2 linked regions of the Bombyx mori genome follow. The protein of the gene in region 1 purifies or fractionates together with the protein of each later gene. This does not show direct contact. Links are inferred from orthologs where the notes say so. Each region holds a gene or a part of one and is shown on either strand. Other genes may lie near its edges.

What was found. The genes of interacting proteins can lie anywhere in the genome.
Region 2: the proteins of DnaJ-4 (region 1) and BAG family molecular chaperone regulator 2 purify together in Homo sapiens (affinity purification with mass spectrometry; 4 studies listed by BioGRID and IntAct, with this or other methods). This does not show direct contact. The link is inferred for Bombyx mori from reciprocal best matches to the Homo sapiens genes DNAJB6 and BAG2.

What each region holds. Positions count from the first base shown.
Region 1 is NC_085116.1:8,813,186-8,817,496, reverse strand, and holds the start of DnaJ-4 (DnaJ (Hsp40) homolog 4), read left to right. Parts: upstream 1-1,507; 5' UTR 1,508-1,897; exon of another isoform or gene 1,898-1,961; intron 1,962-2,391; exon of another isoform or gene 2,392-3,408; intron 3,409-4,311. UniProt on the Homo sapiens protein: Has a stimulatory effect on the ATPase activity of HSP70 in a dose-dependent and time-dependent manner and hence acts as a co-chaperone of HSP70. Plays an indispensable role in the organization of KRT8/KRT18 filaments.
Region 2 is NC_085125.1:2,380,743-2,385,025, forward strand, and holds the start of BAG family molecular chaperone regulator 2, read left to right. Parts: upstream 1-1,472; 5' UTR 1,473-1,679; coding exon 1,680-1,783; exon of another isoform or gene 1,784-2,077; coding exon of another isoform or gene 2,078-2,082; intron 2,083-4,283. UniProt on the Homo sapiens protein: Co-chaperone for HSP70 and HSC70 chaperone proteins. Acts as a nucleotide-exchange factor (NEF) promoting the release of ADP from the HSP70 and HSC70 proteins thereby triggering client/substrate protein release.

The sequences.
Region 1 (4,311 bases):
TTATTTCTAAACGTTATGATCACGTCTCGCCCACAGCCACTGCGAAGCTATTTACGTATCCAACGATTTAAAATAGATCGTCGTAGAAATATTTTTATGCGATGTTCGTTCTAATAGTGTAACTTATTAGAGCTTTCCAATAATTTTTAGTATTTTAGATTAATCAGCTTTTTTATAAGGGTTCTGCTGTCAAATACAAGAAAACGGAACTCTTATAATTTCGTCATAAATCCGTAAGTCACAAAAATTTGACTTTGACTTTACCAAAACACAGCCTTATAAAGTGTATGGCTGTGTTGGCCTCGAATACCACCACCTCATCTCTTCCAGTGAGAATCGTAAAAAGCAACTAAGACATTCACGAGTTAATGGGTGGTATCGTTATTTTAGCAGTTATACTAACGTACTGTCATAGCCATCCTCTATTTTCTGGTAGTAGGGCGTATTGTAAACTCGCAAGGCTAGGTAACAACGCCCTGGCTATTTCTGCCGCGCAACATGACGGTGTTTCTTTGTAGGATAAGCCAGGCCTTTTAGAATTGGGACTATCACCTCGTACCTCAACGTGGGTGGCAGCATTTCATGTCTATGCGCTCCGCTAGCCGGTCAAGACCAGGTTGACCGTCACCTCGTTCAATCACGTCACGCAAAAAAAATATTTAAAACTTACTAGTAACTATAGACAAATTTTGGAAATCACAAAAAAGGTTGGTCTTTATATAATTGTACCAAGTATCTAATGAAATATTTGGGTCCAAATTAAAAAAATATATTTTGCTGAAATTTTAATTAACTTACAAAAATTATGAACGAAATATACAAAAAATACATTTTTTATGGTTCCTTATTGTTGATCGGATTTCCTTAAAGAAATGTCGTCTGTATCTGTAACTGTATCCTACATAAATTTTGTAAAGGTCCAGGGCATCATTTCATAAAAATATAAAAAAATTATAGTAAAAACAGCTTATGTATAACATATATTTATATATAAAAAAATAATTTTTGGAGAGCGCATTACCTCAGCGGTTCGTACTTAGTGAAATGCTTCTTCAATACAGTTTATTTAAACGTTTTTTTCGTTAATAAAACAAAAATAGATAAGATAAATTAGAAAAGTCGATTCAATGTCGTTAAAAACAACGATTCAGTATGTTGTAAGGCTATTGAACGTGAAAATTGCAAAACCTATAATTTAGGCCCATTCATAAAATTATGACATGGTTTTATTTTTCAACGTTAAGTAACTTGTGTTTCTTACGAGATGCATAAATTATTGTTGGATACAGAGATTCGTTTAGAAATGATTATGTATTTTTGATAACACAAGCTCTTGTATATAATGTATTTGATAAAAGAAAACTAAAGCAAGTTTTGCTGAATTTCAAAAATTGTATGCTTGCGATGCTGTGATCGCGATATCATTAGCTCATAGTTTAGAGTGCTCGTATTCTATTCGTAAATGTTCGTGTCTCTGAATGTCAGTCGATGCATAACAGGCGTCCGAGTTGTTAGTATGTGGTTATGTTACCACTTGCTGCTTCCCACGCTTTGTCTACAATTAAATTAAAGATATAAACTTAAACAATGAAAGATATTAATGTTATTTTGTGAACAAATTTATAGCAGTGCAGTATTTAAAATTATTTTTATGCTACTAATTGAAAAAGTGATTTAAAAAAAAATTGAATTTATAATTGAGAAAAGGTGTCATTGATTCGATCAGTCAACCATTAAAAGTGCAAGTGCTACTACTTACTGTACGAGCTCTGTGTCATTGTGTGATCTCATGCTACCAACCAAACGGTGTTCACAAATCCGAAAATCGTATTTTCCATTGTGGTTTCAAGGTTGACACCAGTTGTATTTTACCGGAAAAGCCCGATGTTATTTTAAGGTTTGTATATCACTCCTACATACCTATTCTATGTTATTTCGGATTTATCGTACAATCATAATGCCTGTAAATGTGTACCGTGTACATACTATATAAATCTGTTATATTCTTCAGAGTGCAATTTCAGTTTTGTGTGGGATCGACTTTAGGTAGATCGTTACGAATGGACCATAAATAAGACTGTGTGGGAAAAGTTAGTCACAGTCTCCAAAAATGGAAGTATTCAAAGTAGAAACAGGTTTTAATTTTATGAACATTATATTTAAATTAAGTATTGAGAACATTTCTTCTATGCTTGTTTCGAAGATCATTCGATTATTTTGAACTTTTTAATAATAAAAAAATTTTATTTAAATAAGTCACAGAACAATGTTTCCGTCAATAGTTCCGATATCTGTCTAAGTACATCCAATTTGAAATGTGGTTTGACGAGTGGAGAAACTAATTAATTGACTCACCTCACTCTCAAACAATTACAATACTAAAAGGCTTACCTTCTCACAATCTAGGTGTATTGCTGTACACCAATGTGAACACGGCGGAGCACAAGTTCGCAGCTTACATCGCTCGGAAGAAGCGACATAGTATTCTCGTTGCTCAAATAGGACCGGACTCGTCGCTGTCCAAATTCTTAGATACGGCACATGGCAGCGAATAATCCTGGAAATCGCCACTTCTGCGAGTTTACCTCTCACAGAAGTAGGCGTTGGAGCCTAAGAGATGAGCTAACGCCCTCTAGGGCGTTGCAGAGTTGATGCTAAAGAGTGATCGGTTGGCGGTACATCGCGAGCACCTAGCAGACTGGTTCTGGTTCTGGGAGGTATTCCGGAACCACAGTGGCAAGGCCTGGCCTTCTTGATAAGCTGTCATCCGAGTTGGCCGACGAAATCGTTTTCGTCGATGTTTTTCGTCGGCCGAACATCCTCTTGGTGGCCACGTGACTGATCGCAGTGCAGACCGCAGTCGCCCCCCAGCATTTCGAGCGTAATTTGATCATTTGGGCGAAAAGTGCAGAATAGACATTTAGTGGGTCGCTTCGGCAGTTCCACAGGATCCGGGCATGCCACGACGCGGATATTTTTTAAAAGAAATTTTTATACCGTACTGATGCTGGTTATCATAAATTTGTAATTTTATAATTTTTAAGTTTCATTTGTTATTTATAAGTACATCATTCGTTTCTTGTTTTCGGCCTGTAAACTATCTTTTTGCAAAATGTTGATAGGTCCCAAACATATGCTTCAAAGGAGGACACTAACAAACTCAACTTCGCACTTAAAATATGGGTAATAATTTTAGCTTTGAATGTAATAGGGCGCGTTGCTCCCGACAGCAGGACTGTCGCTTCGACAAGCACCCAGTTTCCTATTCTTACGTTTTCTTTAAAAATACCGATAATTATAGATAAACTATAATAATAGAAAAAATATTTACTAGATCTCCTATTTATTTATTTATTTATAAATTATTTGTAAGAAATGGCAATATAATTTAAAATAGACGAGACGATATAAAAATTATTACCTAGTAGTAAAACATTTGGTAACTGAAAAAAAAAAAAGATTTTACTTTAGGCTAGACGTATATACTTAAATACATTTAAATATAATCTATGCAGATAATATTGGATAAGTACATACATACTTGTAGATACAGTTATAAATTGTACCAATGCAGACAATTGAGACAATTTCAATCTTAACCGCAATGTGAATAAAAAATTTTTAGCCCTAAGCTCACAGCTCTGATAGGCTATGTCAGCGTAACCTAACAAGTAGGTGAGCCGGCGAGAAACTCAGTGGGCTGTGTCTGTTTGGTTAATTTACTCGCCGAGCCTTTCGTCACGAGCGAATTCGACGAGAACGATTACCGGTGCTTTAGGTACCTACCTAAAAGCACCGTTAGTGGATCGGAAGCATTCGAAGTGACGTGCTGTGAATAGTGGCATTCACGTTATGCTGATCATCGCCTTCGGGATGAGCTCAGGAAGGTCAAGAGCTCATGTGTTCATATCAAAATAAAACACTTAAAGTAATCGCTTAATGTTTTCGTTACCGATCGTGATGTTTTTATTTTATCACTTAACTACGCTTTCACCCACAACTTTGTGTGCTTTATACAAATATCGCACGGGTGGAGCCTTGTGCTTATGGTACATTGGGCTGACAAATTGGAATCTATTCCATAAAAGCAAAGCTTTTGTGACAAAGTCGAAGCCAAGTTTCTTATATATATATGGTAGAACGGAACATTATGGAATGTATTCAAATTGATTAGGTATTTAATTAAATGAGGTAAAATATAATAATTTGGTAGGCGTTGAATAAGATGATCTGAAATAGCCTCTCAATAAAATGTGGAAATTTACTAAAGTTTATGTTAACTGATAATACGATTACACGGCCTTATTTCTG
Region 2 (4,283 bases), on another chromosome or scaffold:
AAGACCTCTGGACCGAATGTACTAATGGTACTTTTTTTTTTAATGCTTAGATGGGTGGACGAGCTCACAGTCCATCTGGTACTAAGTGGTTACTGGAGCCCATAGACATCTACAATGTAAAATGCGCCACCCACATTGACATATAAATTCTAAGGTCTCAGTATAGTTACAATGGCTGTCCCACCCTTCAAACCGAAACGCATTATTGCTTCACGGCAGAAATAGACAGGGTGGTGGTACATACACGCGCGGACTGACAAGAGGTCCCACCACCAGTAATTACGCAAATTATAATTTTGCGTTTTTGATTTTTATTACACGATGTTATTCCTTCACCGTGGAAGTCAATCGTGAACATTTGTTAAGTACATTAAAAAAATTGGTAGTGGTGCGGGATTCGAACACCGGTGCACCGGATACGAATGCACCAGACGTCTTATCCTTTAGGCCACGACGACTTCTAACTTACTACTAACTAACGTAATATGTTTAATAATGTTATTATTTAATTTATCTATGTCTTCGTTTCTGTAATACTATCACATAATCTATTTCTTTTAATTGTCCTAAATTATCTCGTTTTCTTTATTCGGACAAAGTAATCTAATAGCATTTAACACTAGGTTCATAGCTAATACAGTGCATAGTGTAGCTAATGTAATGTTTTATATACTTAAAGACGTTTCATATAGGGTATTTTTAATGAAACATGCTTAACTACAATGTGTATTTTATTTTGTCTCAATCAGTTTTTTTATAAGCCTTTAAGATGTACCTACGTTGTCTTCATCCTTCCATTTGGCAATGTGATCTGGCATTATTTATTTTCTTTTTCGAATTCCTCCAAATAGATTGAAGTCTTTCTACCGAGATGTGGTAGTGGCCTTTTTAGACACCACATATTCTAGATAAGGTAAGGTAGATTGGAATCCTCTTAGTTGTTTTAGCATGACAATCGGCTTCTTGCATCACGTTGCCATTGTCGTATATATTTATTCCTCAATTACTCATGGTTTCCCAGCAACACGGTAGAAATTTACTGAGCGCTAATCTCAAATTTCTGGGAAGAACTAAAGAAGCCATTTTCAGAATTTTTTATCCCATTTTTTCCACATTTTCACAGATAGTAAACGGCTAATATGCCACCATAACTGCTCTTAAATATTAAGTAGATTATATATGATCACTACACGTTTAAACCTGACGAAAAACTAAATTAACAAAGAAAAAAATCACACTTCTTTTCGCCTCACATTCCCATCAAATTCACATTCACATCATATCCTTACGCAGTTTCCAGGCTTAATTACCATTATCCTTCAATTAAAAGCAGCTTTATCAGAGTCGCGTGCAGTCGGGTATTTATTTATTTATAGAATTGGTTCCACATTTTTGACAGGAATATTGAATAATTTTTTTGCCCAGACAGCTTTGCCTTAATCCTCAACACGTAGGTTGTATGGCTTTGTTCCGTTTGCCAGTCTTAGTTAAACATTCGTCAAGAATCAAGAAACGTCAGTCGAGTTCGATTTTGTTTTGGAAGTTTGCAGTGCGGTAGTTGAATATTGACGTCAAAGAAAATTGTAAAGACTTTGTTTTGAGCTTGTTAACAGCGCTGATCGATTAGCTTATACCTTTCAAAGAAAAACTGACGGTTTAGTGAAAGTGCATCTCAAACTATGGAGGTGGATCAATTTGCATTAGAGATTGCGTATCCAGAGGGTTCACGACTACCCCTCATCGACGAATCCTCGGTTCTAGGAACGCAGGCGCCGAAAGACAGGTATGGTTTTTCGACCGAATAAAATCGTTCATAAAAGGTGCTTGTAGGTACTCAAACTTTTCGAAAGCCAAAAATGGTATCGGCCGAAACTTTTGCGGTCGCCCACGCCACAAGCCTTGTTGAAACTATAATAAATTATTATTTTACCAAGATTACTATTTTGTTAGTCATATTGTTAGCCGTATAAGGTGATTGGAGCTTCGTGCTTATAATTATAGTAATCTAATTGGAATTACGTGACGACGTACGCATTCGTGACAACTACAAAGAAGTTATGATTAATTGTAGTCATTAATGAGGTATGTTACATTATTGATTTCAACATCTCCGATATATTTATTTTCATACGAAACGCTAGAAAATAAAAATAGTATAAATGAATGTTATAATACCAAAAAGTGTGAGGTTTTAAAGTTCTCATTTTTGTCTCATTAATTTCTTAATCAGAGTATTTCACTTTTATATTTGTAATATATTATCATTGTTACTAGCAGCAGCAATATTTAGTTTATGTTGTGTTGGGTGAAGAGTCAGATCCTACAACGTGATTACTACAAGATATCAGTAGACTGCCCAAGTTCTTTTTTCTGCTAATCGGTTCTTCCCATAACTTATTTGTAATATATATTTTGATATTTTACCTTTATAAATCAATCCTTCTCCTGTGCCCTGTGTAAATTTCACTGGTGTATTGTTAGCCCACACAGGACTACTACAGCTTTACCTATATCTACCATTGCAACATATTCAGCTTGTAATAAAAAACGTAAGGTTAGCAGTATTATCAATAAAAATTGCCTTTTCCAGGTAACTAGTAATGATATTGACGGTAGAAAGTGGAAATGTCGTAACTTGCTTTTGCATTCTGGATTTTCTTGTATAAAAAAAATACTGCTTCTGTAGTTTCGTTTTCCTATAATAAAATTTTTCATTCACCTTTATTTCATCCAATTTCATACCAATTTTGAACATTATATCTCTATAAATATATAAAATGAGTTATGAATTTTTGAAATAGTTTTATGGCTCCGGTATAAGGTCGGGTTTTTCAAGTTACGACAATTCTGCTTTCTTGCATCGATATGGTCAGTTACTATTCTATATCTCACTGAGTGAAGAAATAAGGGGAATATATTATTGTCTACAGGCTTCCTGTTTCAAAAAGTTAGACCCTCTTATGATAATGAATGAGTAACTCATGGCCCATCCGGTGTTAAGTGGTTACCGGGACCTATAGACATTTTAATTTGAATGAAGGTGGTCACTTTGTCATAAGAGTTTGAAATTTTAATTGATAAGTATATTTTAGTTTGAAAGTTTTGTATAGTCTTAAGTCATGTAGACAAGCTTGCTGGATTTATTGTGACCAGCCAGTTTCTTCGTTTTAATTGTGTTGCTAATGTCATAGTTTATGATTTGGTTGAACTATACAGAAAATAAAATAAATGAAACAATACCTTTGTTTTCACATGTCTTTGGATGCATAAAAGTGACCTTCATACTTTGAACTGTTTTAATTGAAATAAATCATTCAACATTCTCCTTCCTGGTTCTTTGTAAGCAATTAATTGTACAGTTCTCTATTACATAATCACATGTATGTGTGTTGTTAGTAAATGTATTTAAGAAATAGGACTGCTTTTTTTTTTTTTTAATTCACACCAGACACATTACCAACATTCGGTTAAGAGCTTATATGCATATCGACGCTTGAAAGGCAAACGTGACTAAGCGACAATGCGTGAACTTTACAGTAGACTAATTTAAAGTTAAAATACCTGAAAACAAAATTTATTTTAACGAAACCAGCTGTAGTAGAATCTAGCTAGTAGCAGTAGGATTGAAATGATTTTAATAGACCTAGAAATATATATTTTTTGCACATCGAAAATGGTTATTGCCTTTCATTTATGTACAAAGCAGTTATTGTCGCTTAGTCACTTTTGCCTTTCAAGCGTCGATATATATTTCCTTTTGTTAATGCCGAATATATCTATCTGCATATATTGGGGTATTTTTCTATAGTGTTCTTATTTCACCTTCTTCACCTTGATTTTCTAATTCAGTTTATCTCTTCATTTTCTGTAATTGTCATTGTCTGTCATTATCCATAATAAAACATGAAAGAGGAGTGCATGCGGTAGATATCTAAATGAAGACATGTGTGAATGTAGCCCCAGTGATTGATAAATTAAAGAGCGGACAGTTAGGGTGGTATGGACATGTGATGCATAGAGAGGAGATGCATGTGACTTTGAGATGTATGAAAATGGTAGTGCAAGGCAAAAGGGGAAGTGGTTGACCGAAGAAGACATGAAGTCGTGGCCTAAAGGATAAGACGTTCGGTGCATTCGTATCTCGCGATACATCAGTGTTCGAATCCTGCAGGCGGGTACCAATTTTTCAATACGTACTTAACAAATGTTCACGATTGACTTCCATGGTGAAGGAATAACATCGTGTAATAAAAATCTAACCCGCAAAATTATAATTTGCGTCA